Linked DNA regions of Lonchura striata. The protein of the gene in region 3 binds, or shares a complex with, the protein of the main gene of each other region. Links are inferred from orthologs where the notes say so. Each region holds a gene or a part of one and is shown on either strand. Other genes may lie near its edges.

Region 1 (7,700 bases), on a different chromosome or scaffold from region 3:
ACTTCTCTGCCAAATTTCTCTGCAATATTTGCTGCACATCAAGACCTACACTTATTTAACTATAAGATCATGACAGCTTTCACCTCACTAATGGTTATCTAGCCAAACCTGCCTGTGAGAGCAGCTGAACTGAAGTGGGTCTCCTATCCCAACCCTGACAATGTCGGGATGCAATCTCTATGTGATTGGCAGGTGAGAAACAAAGGCACAGATTAAAACAAAACTTTGAGAAAGTTTTGCCTGCAGGCGTTTCCTAATGCAAACACAATCTTTACAATCTTACACAGATTTCTTGCACGAAGCAGTTTCCTGTCTGTTACCAGCTCACAGCAAAATCATTCCATGTATCACCAACATGGCTCAGAAACCCATCAGAAGGGCTGGGCTCTGGAGACTCACAAAAACTGAAAGTCACTACCAAATAGCTGAAAACCTAAACACTGTGGTATTATGGATCTCTTACAGACCAGTGAACTTCACTCACAACAAGTGGATGGTGTTATCCCAGTCAGGACCCTGTGCATTGACTCAACAATCATTTTATCCCCCTTACTCCTCTAATAGAAGGTTGAAGACCATTTCATAGTCTTAATCTCCTGTACTTAATTTTCTTGTTCCAGTCACAGGTTCCCAGCCAGGCTGTTTACCACTCTATTAAAATTTCCTTATTCATTTGGATTTATATTCCTACCATGTCTGGAAGTTTTCATCAGCTGAAACTGGCAGCTGTTGCTTCCCTATTTATCAGCATATTTCACATGTATCAGCAAGGATACTACAAGACACTTTGCCTCTTTCCAAGATCAAGCAGCTGAATTCAGACTCCAGAGTCAGCCCACACCAATTAACTGAATTAACTAAATTTTTCAGAAGCTGTTAATTTGGCAAAGTGTGGTTATATTTTCTTATGGATGGCAACAGGCAAATCCCTCACAAAGGATTCATATCCACACAAAATGCAGCAAGAGATTATAAAAAAAATTATCAGAATTATAAGTGGAAAGCCCAGTTCTTTAGACCAGTAGCCGTTTTAAGAGTACTGCATTATTTCAGATGCAAGTCTCAAAAAAACAAGAGAAGTTCAACCAAAGACAGCTTCCACCCTAAATTATTCTATGTTGCAAACATTATGAATTGCTAATTAGGACATTTCTAACAGCCAGATTTAACACTGGGCTAGGCCACCGGTGTGAGTGGAACAGTAAATCACTGGCAGTGTGGAATCAGCACTCACCCTGAAGCGCTCACTCAGCACTGCCCTCCTCATGCAGCGGATACTGCTGGAGATGGTGGTGCCCGAGAGCAGCAGGTCTGGGTACAGGACCAGGTATCCACTCTGGGCACTGATGACCCAGGTGCCAGAGCTGCACTCCCCTTCCAAATGAACAATGTCCCCTGGAACCACCGGGACAGACTCCCTGCAAGGCAATACACCCATACAACCAATGTTTGCAAATAACAGACACAACGTATTTTCTTACACATTAACAGAGCAGATTCAACATTCTTTGAAATGCTGGGTTGGGTTCTTTTAAGAAGTTGACTTAAAGAAATCCTGAAAGTGAATAAAGGCATTTTTACAATGACAAAACTGCAAGGTAGCAATGCCTACTCAACATCAGGCCTCTCAAGATGATATCCATTATGCTAGCATACTGATAATATCACATTAAACAAAGGTTCTTTCAGGATCCCATATCACTTTTAAGGCCGTAAAACTCAACTCACAGACAACACAAACAAAATTTAGTTAATAATCCAATATTTCATTCTCTTTTCAAACATCTATGTATCTGTGTGGATTACCAGCCACTCCTAAGGATGCACAGTTCTGTATCTTCCAGTGAGGGGGAGGCTGTAATTGTCAAGTGTTTCTCAGGGTCACTTCCATTTCTCTGTATTACGCTGACCTCCAGCACTCGGTATCTGTTGTTCAGCCCATTCTTCAGGATCGTATGAGGTAGGTCAGACACTTTCTTCTGAAAACTGAAGGAACACCTAATTACAAAGAATACTGTACTCTTTGAAAATAGCCGACCTACATACAAAAAGAGAGATAGCTTCAACCATAAACCAAATTTTACTCCCCTTCAATTTTTATAAATATTTTGTTTGGGTTTTTTTTTTTTCAGTTCTGTACAGGTAAAGAGTAAGAAATCTCTATAAATATTAAGCAGTTTGCTATTTATTACATTTTTGGGTCCACATATCCATAAGCACTAGTAAACTAATTATAACTGTACTGCAAACACTGTGCTTGTGAGAAAGCTTTTATCTCCCTGCGCGCATGAATTCCCACAGCCACACAAACACCTCGAGCACGGAGCGGTACGTTTTACCCATGACCTTGAGTTGTTTAGAAAACTCATACTGAAGGTTAAGTTTCCAATAGCCAAACCATGAGACAGAGCGGCCAAACCAGCGCTCTCCTGTCCCGAGTGATGCCTGGGGAGCGATCGGGGCACAGCGAACGCCAGGGCCCCGCGGCGCCGTGCCCAGCGCGAACACCCGAGGCAGCGCGGCTCCCCCTCACCATCCATCCCGGCGGCTCCAACTCACCATCCATCCCGGCGGCTCCCGCCCACCATCCATCCCGGCGGCTCCCCCTCACCATCCATCCCGCCGGCTCCAACTCACCATCCATCCCGCCGGCTCCAACTCACCATCCATCCCGGCGGCTCCAACTCACCATCCATCCCGGCGGCTCCAACTCACCATCCATCCCGGCGGCTCCCGCTCACCATCCATCCCGGCGGCTCCCCCTCACCCGCTATCCCGGCAGCCCCGAGCGCTCCCCAGGCCGAGGAAGGCCTCAGACCCCATCCCGCCTTCCCGCGCCCGGAGCCGGGAGCGGTTTGCAAGTTCAAACCCCGCGCTCCCGGCCGTCTCCGCCCCGCTGTGGCTCCCCGCATTCTGCCACTACCGCTCGGCCATGGGCAGGTCCCGTGCGGCGCTCGGCTCGGTCCGGCCTGGCCCGGCTCGGTTCGGCTCGGTTCGGCTCGGCTCGGCCCGGCTCGGCCCGGCCCGCACTCAGCGCACCCAGCGCCCCCGCAGCGCCGCCGCGCGCTCCGCCAGCCCCGCCCGGCGCGCCCCGCGCGGCCAATGGGAGGCGGCGGAGGGGGCGGTTCCCACGCGCGCGAGCCGGAGGCGCGAAGCGGCGCTGAGGGCGCTGAGGGCGCTGAGGCGCACCCGGCCCCACTGCCGCCACTGGTGCGGTGGCACAGGGCCATATTAGACGTGCCTTCCGCTCCCAATTCACTTATGGGCCAATCTGAGCCCGAGAGTCCAGCCTTTCCCCTCAGAAAGGTGTGGTCTCTGGCTTTCTGAGGTGGCACTGACGTTTCGGATACACAGGTTTCACTCTGCTGCAGAAATGACAGCTTTGGCCCATGGCTAGACATCCCAACAGAAGAATCGAGTTCAAATTGACGAATTTTAAAAGGTGAGAACATTCTTAGGTTAGCCGTTTCAGTTTTATTTGGGATAGTCCTGAAATATATGCAGTAAATTACATTAATGCTGCTTCCCACTGCAACATTATTCTCTAACAGAAGCTTAATTATAACTTATTAGTTCCTTGTTGATAATATTAAATGCAGTCATGATGTGGCGTGATATTGAGATTATATAAATGTTTTGAACACTTGCTAAACCTTTGTACTGTAGTCTTGGATGCTGCCTATCTATCTCCCATACACCAGAAAATACATATTTCAACAGAACAGGTTTATGAAGTACAAAATATGCTTGAAATATCTTTTTTGAAGTTATCTGCCATGCAATCAGTCTGGGGAGTCTCTAGGGAGAAAGTTGGACACAAGTGTTCTGAAATCAGAGATTGTGAAAAATGTTTGCCGTTTAAAGATCCATCAGCATTCTCCACATATAACTGTAAATTCAGGAATCAATATTAAAATACTTTCATACACTGTTAAATTTTATTTTGAAAAACCTAATTCTGAAAATACAGCACAGTTCCATCAAGTAGGTATGTTTTTCACATTCAATACCAGACACAAGAATTTAGGAGATACTTTTTATGTTCTCTTCCTCTCAGGCATAAACATGCTGGGTTCTGCTTTATTCTGCCTTAAAACTGCTTAACTTATCATGACATGCCTCAAATACATCCCTGGTAGTAGAATTAAGATGTAAAACTCTTAACTTAATAGTCCCTAACAGTATACACATGAAAAACAAGTGGCTTATCTGCTCACATAGCAAAACAATGTAGAAAAAAGAAAGACACTTTAGTTTTCCTAATACAGTGGATTTATCTCTACTGCAAGAACTTTAAAATGTAAAAGTTCACTGTGATATTGGCTAGCTTTCCTTTATGTGAAACTAAAGATCAGATGAAAAAGCATATTTGTTGTCACTTAATTGAGAATTACAATGCTGTGCCTATTAGGGCAAACAGATCATTCCAGAAACATGTATCCCTCCTGGCTGCAACACACACAAATCACACAAAGATATTAGTTCAAAAATTTTAATAAAATATATCCTGATACATTTCGTTCTCTGTATTCATTGCTATACTGTAAATTTCAAATAAATACATACTTTAAAGAAACTGGGGGGAAAATTGAGCCACATAAGTTGGTACTGAACAAACAACTGAAAATCCAGTTTGTTAAATTTGTCAAAATTAAGCAAATCAGTCTTACCATCCACCACTTAATATAACCCTTGCCAATTCTTAGAAGACACTAAAATATGTACAATAAATAAATAACTTACATGAAGTAAATGTTTTATAGTTTCCTGAATCAAGTGAGTAAAATCAAGAGTACCAATGCAAATCATGTATAAAATAATTCCTTCCAGAAAAGGAATTACAGGAGGAGGCAAACATGCAATAATCTACTGCATACCATGACTTCAGGAACAGTACATACACATACCTACGGAGCCAATACAATCTTAATTTTCTTTTCTGTGTGAGGTTGCATGTGGTCTATATGCCTAAACAGCAACATGCAGTCTTCTTTGGCACCATGGTTTAAGGTAGTTTACACCAGCTAGTACTGGGAAGTACATAACATACTCAGCCTTGAACAAAGCAAACCAAGACATGCAGCTCCACAGAAAAGTTCTCTAAGATTAGGCCCTACCTGCCACAAGGACATCTTTTCTAGCACTCATCCCTGTAAAATCCCCCTGCTTTTATTTGTGTAGTACAGCATTTTCTTAGAATAGAATGTACCCCAAGGAACTGGTTTCCAAATTGCAAGATAGCTAATACTGCTAAATACATCTTGCTGGTTCTAGCTGAAATGGCTGAAGATACTTTCCTGGGCAGCAATCTGTTCTTGCATATGGAAAATTTGTACAGAGCAAGAATAAAAGGCTGCTTAAAGTGTGCTCTGCCAAGTTCAGCTTCTACAGACCTAGCAAGAATCTGAATGCCAAAATCATTGCATTATGTTCAAATCAGTTTATTCCATTTAATTTTTAAAGAACAACATGCCTAATTACTAGCTTCAAAAGCAGCATAATCAGCAGCATCTAACTCCTGGAATGGTGCTACAGCTAAATAATAACAGCTTGGAACCTGTATAAAACGTGGGTGTCACCTCCAAAACTGTGTCATTCCTAATATTCATCTAATGAAGCCTAAAAGATCAAGTACAAAAAAAAGTGTTTAGATCTAGCTAATGTTTATTTTAATGTGTCACCTGGTTTGGACTCCAGGAAACTAACCACATTTTGGCAAATAAAGATGTCAGACAACAGCAGGTCCACAGTAACAGAAAGCTTTTTTTTTTTAAACTTCAAGTCATTTATTCATCAATATCATTTGAGGATTGATAGTGTAGTTTTACAGAAAAGTCTTCTAAAAGAAAGAATCAGTTGAGGTGCAAGAATTGTTTCATAAGTTCGTAAGTGGTGAAAGCCACGGCCTGGGAAGGAATACAGCGAATGTAATTCAAGGATAGCCCACGGTACAGTCCTCTTCGTACTCCGTGTTGTTGATACACATATTTCAGTGTCTGCACCATGGTACTAGAAAAAGAAATCATTTGTGGATACACATCTTCAGTATCAAAATCATGTTCTTTAAATATAAGATACTTTTTACTTGGGTTTTAAGAGATCCATGCAGAAAAACCCATGGCATTCCACACAGCAAAGCCACGTATGACTAAAAAGCCACATCTGACTAAAAAGACAACCTGGACTTCTGCAACAAATTTGGGCCCAAGGACTGGGAATTGGAAAGAGGATGGTGCAGTCCCAGCTAAAATAGTGTTGGCCTGAAAACACCTGCCCTACAAGACATATTACAGTATTTTACACCAGAACAGCTCCACACACTGTCTTGCCTAACTGGCAGGAAAAGAGCAGAAAAGCATAAATTCCATTTACAATTAATAACCTGAGTATATAGTATTTTACCTTTTTAAAAGCAGAAATTGAACTGTATGTGCAAAGAGAACTTTCTTCACATACTTGTATTGAAACCAAGAAGATATGAAATAGAAAGCACTTGAAGTGCTTGGTATTTCCATGCTATTGAAGACAGTGCTCTTGGAGAGCATCTTCCATATGTTCCAAAGCTTTGACACTTCCTGCTTGCTTTATCCTCTCATCCTCTAAAGACAGGCCTGTGTCTCTCCTTCAGAGCACATCCCTCTATATGGTCACATCAAAATTGTTAAATGGGGAAGCCTCAGGTCTGTAAAAGCAGTCCTCACAAATGCGAAAAGTAAAAAGAACAATGAACACATTTTTCTTTTAAAATCATCAGGAGTGGAAAATAACACAACCAAAAAAAAAAAAAAAAAGCTAGTAAAGAAAACAGAACAGAACCTTCACACTTCACAGTTAAGCAATATCAAGGTTGTTTGTGAAAGGTCACTCAGGCTGCTCTCGGTAGGATCCAACCTTCCACACAGGAGGTTCACAGTGAACTGCATTGGATTCAGGCACACACAATTCCACAAGATGGAAACTAACCAAGAGAAAGCTGTCCAAGAATTGAAATTGATTGAGACAATTTGAAATTCAGAAAGTTTCTCAAGATGAGACCTGATTTAATACTATTAGGATTTTTAAGTTATTATGGTGCTTCCACTTCTAGTGGAGGAACCTCAACAATGTGTAGGGTGTGGGAGACTACTGTAAGTGCAAAAAAAAGCTCAAATAAAATTGTATTATGCAAAATGATCTCAAGGAACAGAATCTGCACCATTAAAATACACTCTGAAATTAGTAAATTTCAGTAGAAGCATTCAGTCTCTTTTTAAAGATCTTGCTGGTATTAAAGGTAGTACAAGTTGCCTTAAAATACAAAAAACTATTTTACTAGTAGAGATACAGGATTACTAACAAGGGTGCCATATTATTTCAGGTATTTTTTTAATCCCAGGTTGAAAATGGTAGCTTTTGTCTGCGGGGAAACATCTTTATTAAAAGAATGAAAAAATCAACAGCACAGTAGTTCAGGGGGTAGGGGTAGTTGTTTTCTTATGGTAGTTGCTTTCTTTTAAAGTTTAAAATTAAGAACTGAACTTAGCTCAGACATCCAAAAACTCAGTACAGATGAAAAGGAAATACTTACAGGCACTTTTCAGAGTCTGGGAGAACTGCTCCTAACTGCATTCGCCTCCGAGTTACATCCAGGGGATATCTACACAGAAGACATTGAAAGAGCAGCTCCAGCAGATGTGTGACAACTGTTGCAATGTTGTCTA
Region 2 (6,884 bases), on a different chromosome or scaffold from region 3:
TAATGACGATAGGGTGAAAAAATAATTAAAAACAAAAAAAGCTCAGCTATATCTGACTTTACTATGAGGTTGGGATACATACAACATCGTACAGGGAAGAGTTGTTTTTAACTAGAAACTGTCATCATGTTGTAACTCTTGGAAGGGCTGGATCTGCCAATTCTCCACTCCTCCTTGCAGCTGGTCCTGCTCTCCAGCTGTTTTGCCGCCTTCCCTCCAGGCTGGGGGCTTTCGTACAGCACACAGATAGACCCATCCTCACCTATGCGATAGGACACTTCGAAGGGGTCGACCCACAGCGTTAATTCGCTGGGTAAGAGCTGGAAGAGCCTCTCGTGGCTCAGTCCGATCATCCCCGCCGCCTTTCCTATCAAGGGGTCCATCTTATGGTTGATCCTGATGCAGCGGTAGCCGGAGCCCTTGGAGGGCACCAGGGGGAACCAGTGGTGCCTGTAGTGCTCTGCGGGAGGGAACAAAGAGGAGCTTCTGCGCGGGGCTGCGCTCCGCCGGACCCCGCAGGATGCGGGAGGGATGCAGGGCAAGGATGCAGGGGATGGAAAGAGGGGATGCCCCCCCGGTACTCACCGCGCATCGCCTCCTGCAGGCACTCGCGGAAGCACCGCAGCTGCTCCTCGCCGACCCCGCCGGCGGCCCGCAGGAGGCGGGTCACGAACGCGGCCGCTGTGGAGATCTCGGTCCTCATGTCCGCCCCGGCCCCGCTGCCAGCGCCGCCCGGCCGGGCCCGGCCCCCGCGGCCGGGGGCGGCTCCGCGCAACAGCCGCACGGCGCGGGCGGGACGGGGCGGGTTTGTTGTGCTGCCCATGGGGCGGGATCGGCGCGGACGTACGGGCGGCCCGGCACACGGGCGGCCCGGCCAGCCGGGCTGCGCTCGGGGCCCGGCACACGGGCGCGGCCCCGCCGCTCCTTCACCCCAACGGAGTTAACGGGTGCAACGCGCGGCTGCAACGCGCGGCCGCGCTCCCGGCCCGGCTCTGCCCCCACGGCTCTGCCCTCACCGCCACCCCAGGCCAGCGGCGGCTCCTCTCATCCCTCCATCAGCTCCATCGCAGCCGTATTCCAGGCAGACGGCGCCGTTGTCCTGCCTTGCTCCCTTTTCCCTCTCTTTTCTCAGGGCCCAATACAAGCACAGACTAAAACCCCCTCCATCTCAGACACGCAGCTCCGAGGTCATCCTTGACAGGCGGGTTTTCCTTTCCCTCGACCAGCAAAAGACAAAACTCTTGACATTTGCCCAAAACCCAGAATACTCCCCTCCTAACCGACTCTCAGGTCTGGATCAAGATGCTGTTTTATTATAACAAATTTTCACCGAAGTCCTATTTGCATTTTATTACCTCATACTTTAGGAATTAAGCTAAAAATTTAATCTCTGCTGGTACCTGGACTCATTCAGTCATCCACTTCAGTTTTGATTTACTCCGTGTTTTGAGAATTAGAACACAAAACATATTCACATCAATCTTCATTGAAATAAGAGACAAAGAAACGCTTGCACTGGAGTCACAGAATTATTACTAGCATTTAGAATAAACTTACCATTAGCAGCACTAAGAACTGTCCAAATCCACACATAAGTTATTAAGCTTAATGCTTAATTATGCTAAAGAGGTTTCTCCTTCCACAATGTATGTGCACCCAAATGAATAAATGCACAAATTCCCTATTACCCCAGTGATTTTACACTTAAGTCAGTAAAACAAGATACTGCTAAAGCCAGGACAGACATTAAGGGCCCTGGTTTTAACTTGCTCATGAGTAAACTAAAATAATGGTAATAGTAGAAAGCAGATGAGTTGTAGCTAAAAGTATTGCAAGAGTCAAATGGTAATGCTAAAACTGCTTACATGGATTGAGGCCTGACACCTGGATCCATTAGTCCTAAGTGGAATATTCAAATGAAACAAGAAATTCTGGCTACAAAAATTAAGAATGCCACAGTTGTCAGGTAGCTTCTAAACTCACGCTTTGCTTTCTTGTGTTCTCCTCAGGGAGTTTCAGATTTAAGACTCAGTGTAAGCAAGACAGAGAAAAATGAGAAATCAGCAAATATGTAACTGTGTTACTTTCATCCCCCTGCCCAAAAATTATTCCATGAGCAGCTGTATTTAAATAAAATTCTACATGTCAGACTTACTTTGTTGTTATTCTAATCCTCTGCAAGTCATTTTCTCTTTAGCAGGAACACCTGGAGTAGAGGAAAACGAAGTCAGTATCTTGGTTTATCTTGTTAAAAATAAAGCCTGTGCAAGTGTTCTACCATTCTATTTTTCCTCAGTTTCAGCTAGCAGAAGAGGAGAAAGTAAAACTGAAAGTATACCACTCAGACAATATACTATTATTTAAAAGGAGCAATAATAAAAAATAGTCATACTATCATAATCCTACTAATTTATTAAACAAAAATCCTAAACAAACAAACAACAAAAACACACAAACAAAAACAACCCAGAATTAAGAACAAGTAATGTCTAAATCCAGTTCCTTTTAGATTACTTAGATTAAGTTCTCAATATATGTCTCTTTAAACATAAGCAGCAGAAACAGAGCACGAGAAATTGCCAGGAGAGGTTTTAAACTAAACAAGAAATTTTGTTTTTATTCCATCTGTTCAAAGCATCTCTCTCTAAATATAAAAAGATGAAACCATTCTTAAAAGCAAGGAGAAACTTTATGGCAAGACTAGAAAGACAAGCATTATGTTACCATTCCCATTAGAGGGAGAAAAGCAATAATTCCAAACATAAATAATAGTACCTTCAGTGTTTTGAGCAACAAAAGCATTCACAATTCCCCCAGTTTGGTACATAATTGATAGAACAACTTCTTGGAGAAACAAAAATAAACCTTTAAGCAGCACCTCAAAGCTAAAGTGCTACAAGAGCACCTGCCCTCTGAGGCTGCCCCTTCTGCGTGCACCTGAGCTGAGCGGATGAGCTGTTCCCACCTGCTGATTCCACTGGGATCCCTGCTGCCACTTCAGCACAGCTGGGAGCGATGGCTCAGGGCTTGCTTTGGGCCCTACCGGCTCCTCACAGGCTGCTCATGCACTGCACGGAAAAAGAAAATTACCTCCAGTGATAACCCAATTTCCCTGCATGTCACGGGCAATAGCGAAATGAGCAAGAAAAATCAGAATTCTATAACACAATTGGAAATATGTCACACTAGCACAGTGGTTTTCACTTCAAAGACCATCAAGGGGTTTGTAAACTGATTTGTAGAAATGAAAAAAAATTGTAGCTGTGTTTTAAAAACGTGCTGTAAGACTATCGTCTGGTCTCCTCTTAAAAGGTTTATCAACATAGCTGTGGCCTCACACCACGTGAGTTATAGAGCTGGAAACTCTGTTTTTCAGTCCACATTTAAAAACGGGTCATATATGATTACAAAAGCAGGTTAACGCCAGTAATTTAACCATGAGGGTTTAGCACAGGACTTTAGCAAATACTGCACTTCCCTGACTCTCCTAGAGGTCCCAGTTTATCGAGGGCAGTCGTGTCTGTGGCTGCACAGGACGGGTCACAGCCGCCCTGCGGCTGCGGCGTGACGTCATCGTTCCCGGGATGAAGCCAGGTCTGACAGCAGCGGGACAACCCTCGCCGTGACGTCACCGTCCAGCCTGACGTAATCGCTCGAAAGCGTGACGTCAGCGCCTTCCCTCACAGCGCTGAGGGGACAATCCTTCCCGCCTCCGTCTCTCCCAATCAGCGAGGCGCTTGCATGTCGGCAGCTCGCGGCCAATCCTGGGAGCGCTTATAGCCGGCTCTGAAGCTGCCGCCACTCTATTGGCTGTGTGGGAAGGGCTGCCCGGCGGCGATTGGCGGGAGACGCGGCGCGCGAGGGGCGCGGCCGGGGCGGCCCCGCGGGTCCCGCCATGGCGGCGCTGCCCGGGCCGCGCAAGCGGAGCGGCTCCGCGCTCTGCGGGGAGAGCGGCGCTGCGGCCGCCCCGCCGGCTCTCCGGAACGTCCTGCCCCCGCACAAGCGCCCCAAGAGCGCCGCGACCGGGATCATGGACCCCTTCGGGGACAGCGATGACTTCACGGCGGACGACCTGGAGCAGATCGACATCCTGGCCTCGCAGGCGCTGTCGGAGGGTCCGCCCGCGGGACACGCGTGGGGAGCGCCGGAGCTGCCCCCGGGCGCGCGGCAAGGTCGGTGTGTCCCGGCGGCTGCCCCTCACTGCCCCGCTGCTGCCGAAGCGTTCGGTGTCCCTTTAGCAAGCACGGAATGGCTGGGTTGGCAGGGACCTCAAAGCCCACCCAGTGCCACCCCCTGCCACGGGCAGGAACCCCTTTCACTGTCCCAGGCTGCTCCAAGCCCCGGCCAGCCTGGCTTTGGATACTTCCAGGGATCCCGGGGCAGCCACAGCTGCTCTGGGCACCTGTGCCGGGTCCTCACCTCCCTCACAGGGAAGAATTTCTTCCTAATATCTAACCTAAATCTCTGTCAGCGTGAAGCCCCTTCCTATTGTTCTGTCACTAAAGGTTCTTGTAAATAAGACTTGCTCCATCTTTCTTGTAAGTTCCCTTAAGAGAATTAATTGATCCTGCCCGTTCCCCTGGCCACCAGCACCCGACGGTGGTACGCCCGGGGTCAGAGGGATGGCTGGCATTCAGAGGAATAACGAGGATAACAATCCCAGCAGGAGCACTGCATTGATCCCACAGCTCCAGCAGCCCTGCCTGGGGTGTGTGTCGTAATGCCAGCCTGGGACAGGGGTGCTGCATGTTAAACCTGCCAAATAAAAAACTCGAGTTTCCTAAACTTTCAACATGCTTTAGGTGTTATATTCTAGTAGCATGTTGGCTTTCAGATTTTCTTTCCCCTCTTATTTTCCACTAATAAATGCACAGCATGCCTTGTATTAACAGCTGACTTTCAGGTTTATTTTGAAAGAAACAAAAGCAGGGGTTTCTTCATAATGAACCTTAGAGACCTTAAGTAATCTAAGTATGTTTTAGCAACCCTGACATCTGTCACCAGGTGAGTTAAATTTTCAGTGAGCCCTTGTTTGTGCATTCACTAAAGTTATCTCAGAAGAAATGCTTGCTTTTGCTGTGGGTCATCTTGGTGGTTTAAGATACGAGATGATCTTTAAGGTCCCTTTCAACCCAAACCATTCTGTAATTAAAAATTTGAAGGGGCAGGGATTCTTCTGTTATAAGAATTGATGCACATGCACTAGCAAAATTCCTGTGGTGACTAGATGGGGCAGTTTACCTGTTTGTAATGACAGTAAAATACTAAGATATTCAGATGTATGCAATGACAAATAACAAAACTTGGTGTTAAGTCACCAGTGATGCACATTCATCATCTGTGCTTCAGATTTTGGCTTTTCCCTGCAGCAGGAAGCAGAGCAGAAGATGGTCTGATGAGAGATGCATTCCAGTTTGAAGTGCTGCAGACACAGCATGAAGAAGTTAAACGGAAGGTTGGCAATATCCTCCCTTCTCCTCTAAATATTACATTTTTGATAGGAACAACTGAAAGGTGGGATAAATCCAGTCCCAAGCATTTAATTCTAATCAAGGTGATCTAATTTTTGTAATCCAGGGGTGTATTAAAATACAATAATTGTACTAGAAACAGCTTCAGTAATACTAAAGAGTGAGAACAATATTTTATTTCTTGGTAATTTCAGATTAGCAAATGCTAATTTTTCAGTTTTATTTGTTCCCTATCAAATAATTTCTCTGCTTTATCAGCCAGAGTTGTTTTGTTTAACTTAAAAGGTTTGAGAAAGTGAGGTGACTTTCAAGTGGCTTTATGTTACGTTACCTTCCAGTGGTCATTTATGGAGAGATTCTCTGTTTCCCTTTCTCCATTCTCTGTATCTGTCCCAGCTCTATTATATCCACCTTTATCAGGGAATCTCCTACTTGTATACTGTATTAAATCTTAATATTTCAGTTGTAGAGAAGTGTCTTTCTGATCTTTTCTTCTTGCTTTTCTGAGTAACTTCTTTATTATCCTCAAAGTCTTGTCTCTGAGTGGTAGTGGCTGCTCAGGAAATGTTAGAGACTCAATGTCATGAAGATTCTCTCTGGGGGTGGTACCTTCTCTTAGAGTGCTTGTTGGCTGTCCTGATGGATGTAGTAGTGTAATTAAATTATCACTGTTATCATCCAAACAATGAATTAATTATTGATGTGTGTGACTAGAACACTTTTTTTTTAAAAATCCAAAGCATAATTGCAGAGGAGGGGAAAGATAAGGATAATCTTGTAATTTTGAATTATGTTAAAGAAAACAGTAGCTGAGCCTGATTTAATCAGGGAAAAATTCGAGGTAATGTGTAGAATTTCTGAGCTAGGTTACCAGGAGCATTTTTCTTCCTAGGAATTACAAATACACCTAATTTTCAACCACATATTGATGCAAATGCATACTTTTGGCTATATCCATCCTTTAATGTAACTCCTCTGTTTGCAGCTGAAAGAAATGCAGGATGAAATTCTCACTAAAAATGGAGAAATTAAAATTCTGCGTGACTCAATGCAGCAGATGGAGTATGCTATGGAAGAACAGAAAAGATCATACCTGCTACTGGAAGAACAGAAATCTCAGATTTTAAGTGAAAAAGAAAAAGAGTTCTCCAAAAAGGTTTGTAAATTTGTCAGTTACCTGCAGATCACTTGCAGAAGCTGATTTATGACTTAAAGATGTCACAGACCATTTAGTCAAAGGAACAACATTTGTGTGAAATTTCCACAATGCTTGCTTTTATTTTCTTACCTAGAAGAAAGTATTTGTAAGAACTTGTTGAAGGTTTTCCCCTGCCAAAATAAAGTAGTGAAACTCAGGTGGTAGAGGTTTTCATTTACGTACTGCTTTTTTGAAGCCATCCTGAGAACATTGCA
Region 3 (7,980 bases):
GTACTTGGAACAATCTAAGTTTTAGTGCTTCCTGCACCTAACATTCATGCAGAGGATGTATTGTTATGTTTAACAGCCTTTAATGGATTTCTCTTTCACATCTAATTGCTTTTTGAATCTGTGCCAATTTTTGGCACCTACCTCCACAAGTTCCATAATTTAACTGTGCAGTTTAGGGGTGTGGTGCAGCCTTTGTTTTACAACCACTGCCTGACAACACAAGAGCTGAAGAGCATCAAATGAACATAGAAAAAAGAGAGAGAGAGATTCATCATTCTTTATTCATCCCCTCCATGGCATCTTAGACTTTTACAGATCATTATTCCATCTTCCTCCTCCTGTTTCTTTCCAGACAGGAGAAATTAGAATCTATTTGATTCCTCATTATGAGGAGACATAAAATCGCTTCCGCTTACTTACTGGAACTCGAGGTAGAGACCACTCACTACAATAAAAACCTGTCAAGGTTATAAGGTATGGATGCTCCAAACACCATGGAGAGACTCAAGCTTCAGCCATGATGCAGAGTTTATTAAAATAGCAACAAACCCCAGTTTGTATGACACAAACAAAAAGGATTTTGAAGATCTGGAGCATAAAAAAAAATCCCTGAATGTGTCTGACTGCTTTTTTCAGGTGAAAGAGAGAAGCTGAAAGGCTCTGAGGTGACAGAAAAGTGTTTACTTGCAGCTACTCACCCTCATTGTATGGCTGGGGATTGCCAATAGGCCCACCAACCTGATCAGCAGTTTGCAGGACAGTTACATCCATCAGGATCACCACTCTCCTACAACAGAACAGACAACAAACAAAGACTGTCACTCCCTCTGCAGCTCCCATCTCAGGATATCCTTTGCAGCAGCTGAGAAAACCAAGCATTAAGAGGCTGATTCTTTGGATTATGGATCTGGGAGACAAAAGCTTTCCACTGTCAACTAAGCCCTCTCTTGAGGGACAAGTAAACTTGAAACAATATCAAGGATACTTGATATCACTGCATCAAGGGCAGGCCTGAACAGGCACCAAAAATAGCTTGGGAAACCACTGTGTTTTAAAAATAGCTAAACCATACCAGGTTTTTATTCCCTGCTTCAAAAGTTGCTGTCTTCTCTTCAGAATAAAAAGAATACAAACCTTAGTTCATCTCCTGATAGACATACACACAGTTTTTCTGTAATAGTTTCACCTGGATCCCTTCCCACTTTGCAGTACCCATCCCCTCAAATTTTCCTCCTATCCTATTTCCTCAAATTTTAATAAAAGACCAGATCCCACAACACCTAAGTAACAAGATACCTTTATTGTTTCTTTTCAACAGCAGAAAATTTTAAGGAAGCTTTGTACAAGTATTTGGAGTATTCCAGCTGGAGGTGGAGTATTGCAACTGGAAATTTTTTATTACTATATCACTGTACCAGATACATCTGATCTCACTAGTCACATTCTGCAATTTCCTTCTGCTGTGGACTGTCCCTCTCACACCCTAAAACATGAGTATTGTCAGATAATCCCAACCAAAAGCACTTGGCCTCTGCTTAGTCACAAAGCACACACTCATGCAGCTGCCTTTCTGTAGGGCTGAACTTAAAGATTAACACAAATACCTTCCATCTTTCAGGCTGTTGACAATGAATCTGTTAACCTGGCAAATGCACCGGGCTGACAAGCGTTCCTCTTCCACCAGGGAGTTCAGCTGTGTTGCCAACATGAATGCTGCAGGAGCAGAAGGAAAGTATTGAAATAATTCACAATGACAGCTTTAAAAGGGACTGCCACACTTTTTTCAGCCAGTCAAGTATTGCACTGGATCTACAGCTTGACAAAGAAAACAGTGCAACTGCTAAGAAGTCACCAAAACTGACCATGAAGTGTGCTGTATTCATTCCCCACACTTCAGAGTGCAGTGATAGCTAGAACGCTTGTATATCAAAGAACTAAGAGGAAAGTTAAGCTAAATTACTTTTAAATTAATGTTATATGTATAGGTTTCTGTATTTTCATTACATCCTGCAGCAAATTGATTGTTCATATTTCACAATGTTCCAAAAGCCAGACATTTCACCTAAAGGACAAAACGTAGTTACACACTTCAGAGTCTGTGGGCCAGTGAAAAAAACACATTCTCCTTCAATGTTTATTTCAGCACTTTGCATCCAAGTCACCAGAGTAGGAACTTCATCACCCGTAGCATGTCCACACTTAGAAAAACCTCACAGCAGCTTGTCATACTCACAGGAGAGAGTATTCACCCCATCACTCATCAGCACTCGGTAACGTGGGGGCCCAGTTCCTGTGGCAATAGCCCGTGTATTCTGCAGGGAAAAAAAAAAAACAAAAACCAAAAAAACAGGCTGTCAGTTCACATTTCTTCAGAAACTTTTCAAAACCAGAAAGCGACATTAACAAGTGACTTATCTACTCGGCTTTTCTGAGCACTAATATCAACTTCATAGCCCAAGCAATGTAAAACAAAATTAAGAGAATTAAAAGTAGAGCAGCCTTGCTCGGCTTCTTTGCAGAGGAAAGTCTGGCTGCACTCAGGACTCCAAGAGCAGCCACCGAGGGAAGGGACAGTACTCACGATGACTTGAAGCACGGGCTTGAAGACTTCCTCCCCTTGCATTATGGCCTGCAGAAATGAAAGAGACGCTCAGGAAAGCGCCACAGGAACATCTGAGACCCCGCGCCCGACCTACAGCCAAGGGTTTGAGGAGGAACTGCCGTGGAGAAGCCAGGGACGCGGGTGCGGCCGCCACCGCCGGACCAGGAAACCCCCGCGGGACCAGGCCCCGCTCCGGGCCTGCTTCTCCCCTCAGGACCGGGCAGGGCGCGGTGCCCAGGCCCGGCTTTCACCTCGCACCGTGCCCAGGCGCAGGTGCACCCCAGCCCACGCCGGGCCGCTCACCGCGATGGCCCCTTCGCTCAGCCGCACGCTCATGGTGCCGCTGCCGCCAAATCCTCCCGCCGCCGCCGCCGCCAAATCCTCCCGCCGCCGCCGCCGCCACCGCCTCCTTCCGGCGCCTCCTTCCGGCGCCGCCTCCGCCGCGCCGTGCGCCACCCGCCAGAACGCGCTTCTATTGGCTGCCCGGCGCCGTATGGCGGAAGTACCGCTGTGAGCCGTGTGGGGATGCCGCTGGGCGCCGCCATGGCGGCGGTGGCGCTGCCGCCTGTGGCGCAGTGGCAGTGATGGCAGTGACGGCAGTGATGGCAGTGACGGCAGTGGTGGCAGTGGTGGCGATGCCGCTGCCGGTGGCGCGGTGGCTGTGGTGGCAGTGATGGCGCTGCCGGTGGCGGAGTGGCGCGGCCGCACCGCCCGGCTCTGGGCCGCGCTGGACTCGGCGCTGAGGGAGCGGCTGGCGGCGGCTTCGCTTCACGACGCGGTGCGGTTGGGTTGCGATCTGCTCCGGTGAGCCGCGGGTCCGGGGATGGGCAGCGAGGGGAGCGGGGAATGGAGCATCTCGTAATGCGTATAAATAATAAAGGGGGGTGTCGAAGGATGGAGGAGGCTCCGCTCGCTGCAATGGCAGGAAATTCCATCTGGATAAAATTCCACCTTTCTACCTGGCAGCAGGTTGGAGGTCGGCCTTGTCTCCCGGGTTGCTGGCGATAGGACAAGAAGATAAAGGGTTAAATTCACCTGAGAGGTTTAGGTTGGACACGAGTAGGAATTTTTTCGCAGGGAGAGTGGTTAGACGCTGGAATGGGCTGCCCAGGGAGGTGAAGTCGCTGTCCCTGGAGGTGTTTAAGGAAAGATGGGACATGGAATTCAGTGCTGACAAACCTGGCATCGTCACCGCCTGAGAGGTCTTTTCCAACCTAATCGTGTGATTCTGAGGATACGAGGAAGAGCTTCTTCCCTGTGCAGTGACCCCGCCGTGGCACAGACGGAGTGTGGAGTCTCCCTCGCTGGAGATACTCCAGAACCCTCTGGACACAGTGCCACAAGGATCATCCTGCTTGAGCAGGGAGGCTGGACCAGAAACTCCAAACTGATCCTTCCGTGCTGCCCCCGTGTCCCACAGGACCAAGGAGGAGGAGGAGGCAGCCCTGGTGCAGCTGTGCCACCGGGCAGCCACGGACAAGAAGCCAGAGGCTGCGAGCCGGTACCGGGAGCAGGGCAACCAGGAATTCAAGCAGGGCCACTACCAGGCTGCCCTGAGGCTCTACTCCAAGGTAGGTGTGGCAGAGGGGGTCCTACCCACAACACCTTCACATCCCTGAGGGGATCCCCAAGAGAGGCTCCTGCAGCCCCTCATGGTTGAAGGGTGAGGGGCAAGGAGCAGCTCCGGTGAGGGGATCCCCAAAAAGGGGATCCTGCATGCCCTGCTGAGAGGGTCCTGTGAGGGATCCCCCGAGGCAGCAGCAGTTCTCTGGTCTCTGCAGGCAGCATCCCACGAGCTCCCCGGGAGCCCCGAGTTGTCCGTGTGCTTTGCCAACCGCTCGGCCGCCCTCCTCCACCTGGGACACTTTGAGGTAAGTGGGGCCAGGGCAGCACCCACCCTGCAATGTCCTGGATGCCCCTGAAGGATTGGATTATTAGAACAAGAAACAGTAGATCAGATGTGCTTCCCATGCTGTGCTTCCCATGCTGTGCTTAAAGCATCCATAGCTCAACTTCCCTACTTCAGGATGCTTTATTTGGGCAGCAGGTTGGTTATGCACGTGGAACTTGCTGATTAGCACACAGAATTCTTCCATGAGACTTAGGTGGAATGAAAGAGCACAAGCTGGTTTTCAAGCCCACTGAAAAGGCCTTATCTTTGTTCCTAGGTTTGTTTGGAAGATATTGCCAGGGCTGAAAGCCATGGCTATCCAGACAGGCTGCTGCCCAAGGTCCTGCTGCGGAAAGCTGAGTGTCTGCTGCGCCTGGGGAGGTTACAGGATGCACAGGAGAGCCTCAGAGTGCTGGAGAGTAAATTTGCTCTGGATGGTGTCATGACTACAAACCTGGCACGGCTAAAAAAGTTAAGTCAGCTGAAGGTTAAATTAGGTGAGAAAGAGAGGTGTCCAGAGCCTGCACAAGAAGCACATGGTGGCATTCAAGGGGAGCCAGAAATCTGGGAAGAGAACAACAGGATTTCAGGTGCATCTTCATCCCTGAGCTTGGGTTTTGATGCAGAGAGAGGACGTCACTTGCTGGCCTCCCAGGACATCGTGCCAGGACAGAGCCTGGTGAAAGAGGAGGCCTTTGTGAGCGTGCTGTGCCCTGGGGAGAGCCTTCCTCTGCAGGATGGTGACACAGCGTGGGACACTCGAGCCACCAACGCGGATCTTTACTGCCACCGCTGCCTGAGGCAGCTCCTGGCCTCGGTGCCTTGCCAGGGCTGCAGTTATGCCAAGTACTGCAGCCAGGACTGTGCAGACGTGGCATGGCAGCAGTACCACAGGACAGAGTGTTCCCTGGGAGCGCTGCTCCTCACGCTGGGAGTCTTCTGCCACGTGGCCTTGAGGACTGTCCTGCTGGCAGGATTTGCAGAGGTTAGCAGGCTGGTGGCATGGTCCCACCATGGGGACAAGAGCCTGCAGTGCCCTGAGGCAAGCTGCAAGCCTCTCGGTGAGGCAGCAGATGCAGGAGCTGGTAGCAGAGGTGTCCCTGGTTGTGACAGCAGTGGTCAGTACCAGAGCTCTTACCAAGCTCTGTTCCACCTTTTACCCCACACTGAGCAGCACAGCCCTGAGCACAAGTTCCTCTGCTTGCTCAGTGTGGTAGCTATATGCAAACAGCTGCAAGCAGCTGGCCTGGAGGCTGCTGTGCTGTGTCAGGAATCGCCTCAGCAGTGGTCCAAACTAAAGGCATGTGAGAACACCTCAGGTGAATTGTCCCCAGAGCTGAAGACTGTGGCAGAAGCAATGCTGAGGCACGTGTTGCAGCTGCAGTGTAATGCACAAGCAATCACTGTAATGCAGGAGTTGGGTAAGATAAAAAAAATTGAAGCCCTACTGTGTTGTCACAGAATGGTTGGGGTTGGAAGGAGCCTCTGAAGATGATTCAGTCCAAATCCCCTGCCCAGGCAGGGTCACCTGGAGCAGGTGACACAGGAGTGGGTCCAGGTGGGTTTGGAATGTCTCCAGACCTCCCTGGGCAGCCTGTTCCAGTGCTCTGCCACCCTCAGTGGAAAGATGTTTTTCCTCATGTTGAGGTGGAGCTTCTTGTTTAATCTGTGGCTGGTTCTCCTCATCCTGGCACCACAGAAAAGAGTCCATCACTATTCTCTGACACCTGTATTTGTTTATGTATTGATGAGAACCCTTCTCAGTCTTCTCCAGACTAGCCAAGCCCAGCTCCCTCAGTCTCTCCTCATAAGAGAGATGCTCCAGACCCCTCATCATCTCTGTGGCCTCCACTGGACCCTCTCAGTAGCTCCTCTTTCCTGTCCTGAGGAGCCCAGGACTCCTTGCCCATCTTGTCCTCTCCTTGCCCATGTTCTTGTGTGAAGAGATTAAATTCTCAGCTGTAAAAAGCTCCCATTGCAGATGGAAATGATTTGTTTACAATTTAATGGCCTGTCCCATGCTGGCCTGTTCCTTGGTGCACATGCAAGACGTGTTTAGCTATTATTTATTGCAGCAATATACGAGGAACCTTTCTGCTGCTGCCTGCGATCGGTCACGGGGCTCATTGCAGAAATTGTGTGGGTTTGGGAGTATTCAATCTCAACCTGCTTGGTTTTCCTCTGTCTTCAGGGCCTGGAGATGGGGATGTTGTAGATAAGAAGCCTGTGAGGCTGGCAACAGCCTTCTTCCCTGTCCTCAGCCTCCTGAACCACTCGTGCTGCCCCAATACCAGCGTGTCATTCAGTGGGACAGCTGCCACTGTCAGGGCATCACAGCCAATCTCAAGTGGCCAAGAGGTTTTGCATTGCTATGGTAAGCCCCAGTTCTGCATTTGTCTCAAGGCACAGATGTCATTCACCTCCCCTTATCAAGCTGATGGTTATTTATGTCATAATTCTCATATAATTCTCATCTAATGTCAGAGTCTTTGTCCCTTAAGCCCTCTGTTAGACTTTCAGTCTCCAGTTGTGTCCTCCTCAAAATATACCTAGTCTCAATTGTAACAAAAATCCACTTATTCTGATATTAAGAACTGTACTTGTGAGAGATATCTTTTGCAGGGCCTCACTGGTGTAGGATGAGGGTTGCTGAGAGGCAGCAGCTTCTCAACCAGTATTTCTTCAATTGTCGCTGCCCGGCGTGCCTCGAGGAGTTAGAGTCTGGTGTCAAGAGTGTGGTGTCCATCAGAAATTCATTCTGCTGTCCCAAATGCCAGGCCCAAATGCAGGTAATTCTCCATAGTTATGATTGTGCAACTTAATTGGGGTGTGAAGACCTCACTTTGATCCCTGCTCAGAAGCCAAAAGCCCCTATTGAGTCAAGACAGTATCTCACTGTTTCTTATAAAATCAAATAAGCTGATAACAATTTATTTAAAAAATCACTTTGTTTAATGAATACAAGTGAGGAACAATTTAGCATCTCTATAACCCAGAGCTAATGCAGATGGAGAGTGAACTTTGAGGTGAATGTGAGCAGGAATGATCACAAAAGTGATTTCCACAGGGGGAAGAAGACACTCTTTGCTGTTCAAATGAAGCTTGTGCAACCTCAGCCAGCAGAGATCACTTGTCTGGCCGTTTACAGGACCTCCAGCAACAAATCAAGAAAGGTTTAGGCATGCTGAGAGTCGGAAAGGCTGGTAAGGCTCAGCTTTGTGCCCTGAGGTCAGGAGGTTGGGACAGGAACCATGAGATGGCACTGTTGCTCATACCATCGGGGTGCTGTGACATGTGGCCTGGTGTCCATGGGGACTTCAGCTTTAGATTTTTTATACCCCCTGATCTGGGTGTTAATCTAAGTCACATATTGTTCCATAGTAAAGTAATTAAATAAAAAGAAATCAGGGTAACAGTGGAGTTGGGCATTCCCAGGCCTTGTTTATTTCATGGATAGTGGAAGGGTGAATTTTATAACTTTCTCTTA
Region 4 (7,630 bases), on a different chromosome or scaffold from region 3:
ATTTATTTTTGTTTAAAAAAATAAAAACATAAGCAGCAGATTACATTCGTGGCAGAACTGTAATAATTTTAAAGGTATGCAATGATATCCCTTATCAATGATTTTTTCTTTTAGTATAATTTCTCACAAATATGCTGAACAGTAAATATATTTTAAACAGCCCTGTCAAAAAAGCAGGCATGTTTTGCAAGCTAAATACTACGCATCTATTTTAGGAATTACATGTTTTCTTCTTGTACTTAAAATGCAACAGCACTTTGGTTTCGACTTTCTGAGCTGTGGACATCAGGTTCATGGCAAGAGGGAAAGGGCAGATACTGGGGTAAAGAGGAAAATTATTTATAGTATTGAAGCAAGGTTACTATGTTTATATTATTGCAAAATATCTCTCATCTCAGTCATGTTCTTGTAAATCAGCAGTCAATCAAGACCGTTCAAAATGCTTAAAAACAACTGCCAAATAAATCCAGTATTTGAAGAAAGTCTTACCTTTTAACAGATGAGTAATTAAGGATTAAAAAAACAGTATTCTTAAGACCAAGGGCAGTAAACCTTGTATTCTGAAAGTAAACCTTTCTAAAATACAGCTGCTGCAAGTTTCTTCATGTGTCCTTTTTTACAGCATCTGTGACTCACACAACAATCAGTAAATGCTATGCTGACTGTTTTAATTCAATCCCATTCTATAAACTAGTTTTCTACATGCCAAACTCTTACCATGACACTACTGTAACTAAAACCAAGGCTAAAACTTAAGCACTATTCCCTTTTTATTACTACACATGCAGAGCATTGTTTTAGAAAGTTACAATTACACAATTACCTGAGGAGCAATACGATTAACGATTTCCGAAATTTCTACTGCACATCTACTGGTAGACTGCTTGCTTTTTCCATTGCCTATGAAAAAAAACAAACTTCTTAAAATTTTGAAATCTATCCAGTTTGTGAAGTGCAGTACATCTCAAATAACTCAAATAGGCCTGTAAACATCGGAGATTGATTCAGTGCTGTACTGAAGAATTTATAGGTTTATAACGAAAGTAAAATCAAACAACCGTTGTAAGAGAAAAGAACCTTCTTCCAAGGAACCATTTATAACTTTTGCTACACTCGCACTCAAACAAGTGTCCTGCAGTTTGGATTTTGGTATTACCTAATCTGTGTGCAATTGGTGAATGAGAATCCCAAAAGATTTCTTGCTGTGTCTCAGTGTCATTAATAGGAGAGCTGAAAGTAGGTATTCGGGATTTCCTACTCAATGATCTCTTTGGTGTCTTATGTAAACATGGCTCTGTGTAAAAACAAAGAGGACCTTTATTAAAAAACAACAAATAAAAGGCAAAAATCACTTAGAATACAGAACACGTCAAGGCAAAAGAAAATGCTTTGGGAACATCAAGAATAAAAATCAAGTTCACACACACCAGAATTGCTTTACTCACAACAGGAATACTGTTCATAACTAGACATTAAATACAGGACTCTGCCAATTAAATCCCCACAGAGATTAGAGAAAATTACATGATACTGACACCTTTGCACCCAGGAACTGATTGTAATGATGTCAGTTCTTACACTTGAGAGAACACTGACTTAATCTTCTATTAAGAGAAAAATTATGTATACCTCTATGAGAGAAGATTTTGTATTCTTGCTTGCTTTGTGTCTTTCACCCAGACTCTGAGCTGAACTACTTTTTTAATGGGCATCCAAACCACTCTGGGTCATAACCTACATTTGTCTGTATTTCCTCCACTGAGCCCTTCCAGCTAGGACTATTAAAAGCAGGAATATAGCTATTCAAACCTGCTTGCAGCTGCCTTTGATCAGTAAGTGAACTAAACACACTATGTGAAACTCAGCTAGTCACCCCTGCCCTTTAGAAATGATGCTGTGGATGTGGAAGCCTACAGAAATAATTTAAAAGATGCTATCACTACGGGAGGAACATCTTAGAGGATGTTTTGCCCTGAAGTGCCTAGCATGGCCATAGTGGTTTTATCCTCTCCTCGGTTAGTTCTCAGTATTTGCTGTGGGAATCACAGAATAGGTCAGGTTGGAAGGGAGCACACTGGGTCACCTTGTCCAACCTCCCTCCTCAAGCAGGGTCATCCCAGAGCACAGGCCACGGGATTGTGCCCAGATGGTTGTGGAATATCTCCAGCGAGGGAAACTCCACACTGTCTCTGGGCAACCCACTCCAGTGTAGGGTCACTGTACAGCACAGAGGTTCTTCCTCATGTTCAGGTGGAATTTCCTGTGCATCAGTTTCTGCTTGTTTCTTGTGCTACTGCTCAGCACCACTGATCAGAACCTGGTGTTTGGATATTTATATTTAGAGCAGAACTTGGCACCCTCCCTTTGGATATTTATACACATTGATGTGTACCCTCTGTTTTTTTTCGCGATGCTAAACAGACCAAACTCCCTCAGCCTTTCCTCGTAGAAGACATTCTCCAAACCACTAACCAACTTTGTAGCTGTCTGATGGACCTGTTCCAGGAGCTGCATGTCTCTTGTCCTGAGGGGCCCAGAACAGGTCACAGTATCCCAAATGTGGCCTCAGCAGGGCTGAGCAGAGGAGCAGGCACAGCTGCCTTGACCTGCGGGCAATGCTCTTCTCGCCGCACGCCAGGTACCACTGGCCTGCCCGGGGCACGCTGGCTCAACCTGCTCTCCACAGCAACAGCCCTTCCTTCCCAGGGGCCGAGCGGAGATTTACAGCGCACCAACCCCTCCTCACGGCTCGGCCGCGCCTCCCCCGCGGTCCGAGACACGGCGGGCAGGCCCGGGGCCCCCGGGGGCCGCTCCCGCCGTACCTGCAGCGCGGGGCGAGCACGCCGCCTCCCCGGCGGGCAGGCCTCGGCCCGCGCCGCCTTCCACCGGCCCCTCCTCCGCGGGGAGCTCCGCCCGCCGCCGCGCCCGCTGCTCCTCGCCGCCGCTGCGCCTCCTCAGGGCGGCGGGCCCGAGGGACAGCCCCCTCCGCCGGCTACCGGGCATGGCGGCCGCTGCGGCAGCACCGCGCCCGTCCCGCCACCGGCGGCGCCGCCATTTTGCCGGGCGGCTCGCCAGGCCGCCGCCGATTGGCCGCCGCCGCGGCGCCTCCAGCGGCCATTGGCCCCGCGCTGCGGGGCGGGCGGGCGGACGCGGCGGAGAACTGCGGCCCCGCCCCGCCGCCCGTGAGGCGCTGCCGGGTTCAGCCGTACGTGAGGGCTGCCGGGGTCCCGGTGCCCGTGAGGGCTGCCCGGGTTCAGCCGCCCGTGAGGGCTGCCCGGGTCCCGGTGCCCGTGAGGGCTGCCCGGGTCCCGGTGCCTGTGAGGGCTGCCGGGGTCCCTCTGCCCGTGAGGGCTGCCCGGGTCCCGGTGCCTGTGAGGGCTGCCCGGGTCCCTCTGCCCGTGAGGGCTGCCCGGGTCCCGGTGCCTGTGAGGGCTGCCCGGGTCCCTCTGCCCGTGAGGGCTGCCCGGGTCCCTCTGCCCGTGAGGCGCTGCCCGGGTCCCGGTGCCTGTGAGGGCTGCCCGGGTCCCTCTGCCCGTGAGGCGCTGCCCGGGTCCCGGTGCCTGTGAGGGCTGCCGGGGTCCCTCTGCCCGTGAGGGCTGCCCGGGTCCCGGTGCCTGTGAGGGCTGCCCGGGTCCCTCTGCCCGTGAGGCGCTGCCGGGTTCAGCCGCCCGTGAGGGCTGCCCGGGTCCCTCTGCCCGTGAGGGCTGCCCGGGTTCAGCCGCCCGTGAGGGCTGCCGGGGTCCCTCTGCCCGTGAGGGCTGCCCGGGTCCCGGTGCCCGTGAGGGCTGCCCGGGTCCCTCTGCCCGTGAGGCGCTGCCCGGGTCCCGGTGCCTGTGAGGGCTGCCGGGGTCCCTCTGCCCGTGAGGGCTGCCCGGGTCCCGGTGCCTGTGAGGGCTGCCCGGGTCCCGGTGCCCGTGAGGCGCTGCCCGGGTCCCGGTGCCCGTGAGGCGCTGCCGGGTCCCGGTGCCCGTGAGGGCTGCCCGGATCCTCTGCCCGTGAGGCTCTGCCCGGGTCCCGGTGCCCGTGAGGCGCTGCCCGGATCCTCTGCCCGTGAGGCTCTGCCCGGGTCCCGGTGCCGTGAGGCGCTGCCGGCTCCCCCCGCCCGGCGCTGCCGCCGCCGTGGGGCGGTGAAGCCCTGCTGCCGCCGGAGCTGGGGAAGGGCGATGCTCAGCAGGGCAGAGGGGCAGGGTGTGCCCTCCTGCGGGACTTTGCTTGGCCTGAGGTGCCTTGAATTTACCCAGTAGCAAACTGTGGGATGACACCCTGCTGGGTGGGAATGTTGTTGCGCTGGAGGGCTGGAAGGCTCTGCAGAAGGATCTCTGACAGACTGGATTGATGGGCCAAGACCAAGAATATGAGGTTCAACAAGGGGTTCTGCTCTTTGGCCAGAACAGCCCCATTCAGTGATACACGATGGGCGATGAGTGGCTGGAAGTTGGCAAATGCAGCAAAAGGATGTGAAGGTAGCAGCTACCAGCAGCTGGACATGAGCAGCATGTGCCCAGGTGGCCAAGGAAGCCTGTAGCATCCTGGCCTGTATCAGGAACAGTGTGACCAGCAGGAACAGGGAAGTGATTCTTCCCCTCTACTTGGCACTGATGCAGCTGCACCTCAACTGCTGTGTCCAGTTCTGGACGCTCCAATTCAGGAAGGACATGGAGGTGCTGCAGCAAGTCCAGAGCAAGGCAATGAAACCGGTGAAGAGTGGAGGAAACAGTTCTTACAAGGAGCAGGTGATGGAGCTGGGGATGTTGTGCCTGGAGAAGAGGATGCTTGGGGGTGACCTACTTACTCTCTAGAGCTCCCTGAAAGGACATTGTAACCATGGTGGTCTATCTCTTCTCCCAGCAGCAAGATGAGAGGAAATTGCATGAAGCTGTGCCAGGGGAGGTTTAGGTTGGACATCAGGAGTAATTTTTTCACAGGAAGAGTGGTTCTGCATTAGAATGGGCTGCCCAGGGAGTCACAGTCCCTGTAGATGTTTAAGGAAAGTCTGGTTGTGGCACTTAGTGCTGTGGTCTAGTTGACATGTTGGTCATAGGTTGGACTCAATGGTCTCAGACGAGTTTTCCAATCTAATTGAGTCTGTGAAACCCAGCAGACATAAATAATTTCATCCCAGTGAGGCAGTTGATGCTGGTGAAGATTCACTTACAGAATCTAAAATTGGGAGATAAATTAACATGGGTTTCCTGTGAGGTTACATCATTATTTTAAGCAATATAAATGCAAACATATGTATATGTTATGTAACAATGTGAATATTTCCTCCCTGAGCCTCTAAAAATAAATATACAAACATATTTATTCAGCATATAGGAGTGAACTACTCTGTACTATTTTTTTTTTTTTTTTTTTGCTTTTCATTTAATTGATTTGGAGTACTTTGGGATCATTCTTAATTTGTAACATGTAAGCAGTGGGTTTCAGGGTGGATCAGGAGTAAGAAGTTTTGAAGTCACTAAAGATAAATTCCCTGAGCCATGAAACCTCTTCTTTTCACCTGAGGCCTCAGGCAAAAAATATGTTTTTTCACTTCTCCATTCTCATGGGTGTAATTAAAGCCAATAGAACACTTTTTAACAAGTAAAAAAAACCATTAGGTACTATGTATTAAACAGAGTAACTGTATCATATATGTGGCAAATTTATAGCAAGCACAGAAACTTGTGACATTTGAGTAGTTACCTTGTTTTTGCCCGACCTGTAAAGTATCAAGTGGACTTTAAACTACAAAGAGGACTGAAAAAGAGTAAAGAATGAGTCTTCAAAATCCATCATAGATATCTGAACATCGCTACTGCCTTGTAATCATACCAGTGTGGGTAGATCTGTACATCAGCACCAAGTGTGGCAAGGCTGTGCAGGATATTTTTCATTGCTGGTTTCAATATAGTAATTAAAAATGTCTTTCCTGCACACCATGCACTAGGCACTATGTAAGGTACCTGCTGCTTATTTATGGTTGGAATAGATACTGGGAAGAAACTTTGTACATTAACAGCAGATACATCTTGAGGGAATGCAAAACATTGAAATGGACACACTTACTAGAAAGTACTGCTAAATCTTGATGTCTCCTACCACTTTCCAGCAGCCTATTAGCAGCTGGGTACTGTACAGTGATCTGCCTTTGTGTTTCTTTCTGTTAACAAGCATAATCTGAAATACTGTCATCAGTAATTAAAATTAAGTAACATCTGTCATTTTGCAGTGCCTCCTTTGATTTCTTCCTTTTTCTGAGCTCTTTGTTCACTAACCCCATTCAGAAAATGTGAATATTTGCCACAGGTCTTTCACACATTTTTTAGGTTTTACTCATGCAGTGAAAGCATTTTGGGGAAAAAAATAGAAGCATATTTAACATGCATTTCGTTCTGCATGCGAGATCTTGTTGCATCAATATGTTACCAAAAGAGGCAAAACCCAAAATAATATGCATGTGCAGATAAGCTAAACAGGTTCATAATGGGAAAGAAATCCCACTTTCCTAATGAATAAAAGTGTGTGTGTGCCACTGCAGCTCAAGAACTCAACTCTAAGCTGATAATGTTTATTAAGGAATGTAGTGTTAGAAGGCTGTGATGTTGGAGGGTTTAGCCTCAAGGAGGAGGGAGTTTTTGCATTCCCTTGGTGTGGCATGAGCAGCTGATCAATGGCTAATTGTGGTGAGGATGTGTTCCAGGGACTTGCAGCAGACTCCTAGCGCTCCAGTTGGGAGTCCTACTTTCAAATCAAAAGGGATAAATAATTCAGGAGATTGAATGAATAATAAAGTTCCAGTTTTTAATAGCAGTATAAACTGCCTGAGAACTTTTCGCTTTATATTATGAGACAAAATCTAAAATGAAATTAAATAAATCTGGCACATCTTAGAAGTTTCCTAAGAATTTCACACTGGTGTAATGAATTCATTGAAAATAGGACTGAAAAAGGCTCATTTTTAAACTCTTTTGAACACAGAACTTTTAAGTGAGGATTTTTGTCATGGACAGAGTATGTCTCATTAGTGAGTTTTTCAAAATACCTAATATATTGCATACATAAAACAAAGAAAGGGAAGTGACTACATTATAGTTAATCTTTCATTCTTGTTAGGACTGGGGAAAAGGGAAAATCAATAATAGTGATTTCAGTGAAAATATCAAGATTTATGAGAGCATGGAAATTATTATAAATAATGAAATTAATATGAAAAATTAATTAATTTGCTCTTTTTTTTCTAGTATGTTTTTGAATGCTCTGTGATATTTTCAAAGTGAGCTGTCTTGGGCTTTTTTGTTCCCAAACTACATTTTAATTTGGAAATTAATTTCTTTTTAAGCACTGCAAATGAAGGAAGCAAACCACACACACACTTTCATAATTTATCTCCAATGAAAATATGTTTATTCATTTTGAGACCAGGTGAAGAAACAAATTCTCCCAGGCATATTTCCCTTGGTTAATCTGTTTTTAAAATGGTATGGGTGCAAAATCTACAACTCAGTACAATGATATGGTACTTTAAAAGATGTTTTCTGCTAAGGAAGGAGCAGTGAGTAACACGTAAGTAGCAATTTGTCTGTGTGTTTCTGCAGAGGGAGGCTCAGCAAAGCTCAGGGATTGCAGGTGGGCACTGAGGGATGTA

The links.
Region 1: the proteins of RPA1 (region 3) and DNA2 are in contact, whole or in part, in a crystal structure (PDB 5EAY), measured with the Homo sapiens proteins. The link is inferred for Lonchura striata from reciprocal best matches to the Homo sapiens genes RPA1 and DNA2. Residues at the interface, in NP_002936.1 of Homo sapiens: Asn29, Ile30, Arg31, Ile33, Arg41, Arg43, Leu44, Leu45, Ser54, Ser55, Met57, Asn85, Leu87, Lys88, Arg91, Val93, Ile95; in NP_001073918.2 of Homo sapiens: Glu6, Leu7, Glu8, Leu10, Met11, Lys13, Ser14, Phe15, Trp16.
Region 2: the proteins of RPA1 (region 3) and ATRIP are in contact, whole or in part, in a crystal structure (PDB 7XV4), measured with the Homo sapiens proteins. The link is inferred for Lonchura striata from reciprocal best matches to the Homo sapiens genes RPA1 and ATRIP. Residues at the interface, in NP_002936.1 of Homo sapiens: Ile33, Thr34, Arg41, Arg43, Ser54, Met57, Thr86, Leu87, Lys88, Asp89, Arg91, Val93; in NP_569055.1 of Homo sapiens: Gly53, Asp54, Phe55, Thr56, Asp58, Asp59, Leu60, Glu62, Leu63, Asp64.
Region 4: the proteins of RPA1 (region 3) and ETAA1 are in contact, whole or in part, in a crystal structure (PDB 8JZV), measured with the Homo sapiens proteins. The link is inferred for Lonchura striata from reciprocal best matches to the Homo sapiens genes RPA1 and ETAA1. Residues at the interface, in NP_002936.1 of Homo sapiens: Arg31, Ile33, Thr34, Pro39, Arg41, Arg43, Ser54, Ser55, Met57, Asn85, Leu87, Arg91, Arg92, Val93, Ile95; in NP_061875.2 of Homo sapiens: Thr599, Trp600, Glu601, Ala602, Asp606, Asp607, Leu609, Leu610, Tyr611, Ala613, Cys614, Asp615.

What each region holds. Positions count from the first base shown.
Region 1 is NC_134609.1:35,120,219-35,127,918, reverse strand, and holds the start of DNA2 (DNA replication ATP-dependent helicase/nuclease DNA2), read right to left. Parts: upstream 3,009-7,700; 5' UTR 2,935-3,008; coding exon 2,924-2,934; intron 1,987-2,923; coding exon 1,807-1,986; intron 1,419-1,806; coding exon 1,235-1,418; intron 1-1,234. Other genes in the region: SLC25A16 (solute carrier family 25 member 16), read right to left, coding at 5,853-6,009, 7,568-7,636. UniProt on the Homo sapiens protein: Key enzyme involved in DNA replication and DNA repair in nucleus and mitochondrion.
Region 2 is NC_134614.1:7,102,893-7,109,776, forward strand, and holds the start of ATRIP (ATR-interacting protein), read left to right. Parts: upstream 1-3,883; 5' UTR 3,884-3,895; coding exon 3,896-4,172; intron 4,173-5,369; coding exon 5,370-5,455; intron 5,456-6,456; coding exon 6,457-6,627; intron 6,628-6,884. Other genes in the region: protein BTG1, read right to left, coding at 108-460, 586-703. UniProt on the Homo sapiens protein: Required for checkpoint signaling after DNA damage. Required for ATR expression, possibly by stabilizing the protein.
Region 3 is NC_134622.1:6,993,562-7,001,541, reverse strand, and holds the start of RPA1 (replication protein A 70 kDa DNA-binding subunit), read right to left. Parts: upstream 3,017-7,980; 5' UTR 2,939-3,016; coding exon 2,906-2,938; intron 2,630-2,905; coding exon 2,582-2,629; intron 2,313-2,581; coding exon 2,234-2,312; intron 1,714-2,233; coding exon 1,605-1,713; intron 788-1,604; coding exon 699-787; intron 1-698. Other genes in the region: protein-lysine N-methyltransferase SMYD4, read left to right, coding at 3,276-3,406, 4,023-4,173, 4,384-4,473, 4,771-5,914, 6,685-6,867, 7,116-7,282, 7,561-7,696. UniProt on the Homo sapiens protein: As part of the heterotrimeric replication protein A complex (RPA/RP-A), binds and stabilizes single-stranded DNA intermediates that form during DNA replication or upon DNA stress.
Region 4 is NC_134605.1:2,575,522-2,583,151, reverse strand, and holds the start of ETAA1 (ewing's tumor-associated antigen 1), read right to left. Parts: upstream 3,004-7,630; coding exon 2,823-3,003; intron 1,295-2,822; coding exon 1,157-1,294; intron 901-1,156; coding exon 824-900; intron 1-823. UniProt on the Homo sapiens protein: Replication stress response protein that accumulates at DNA damage sites and promotes replication fork progression and integrity.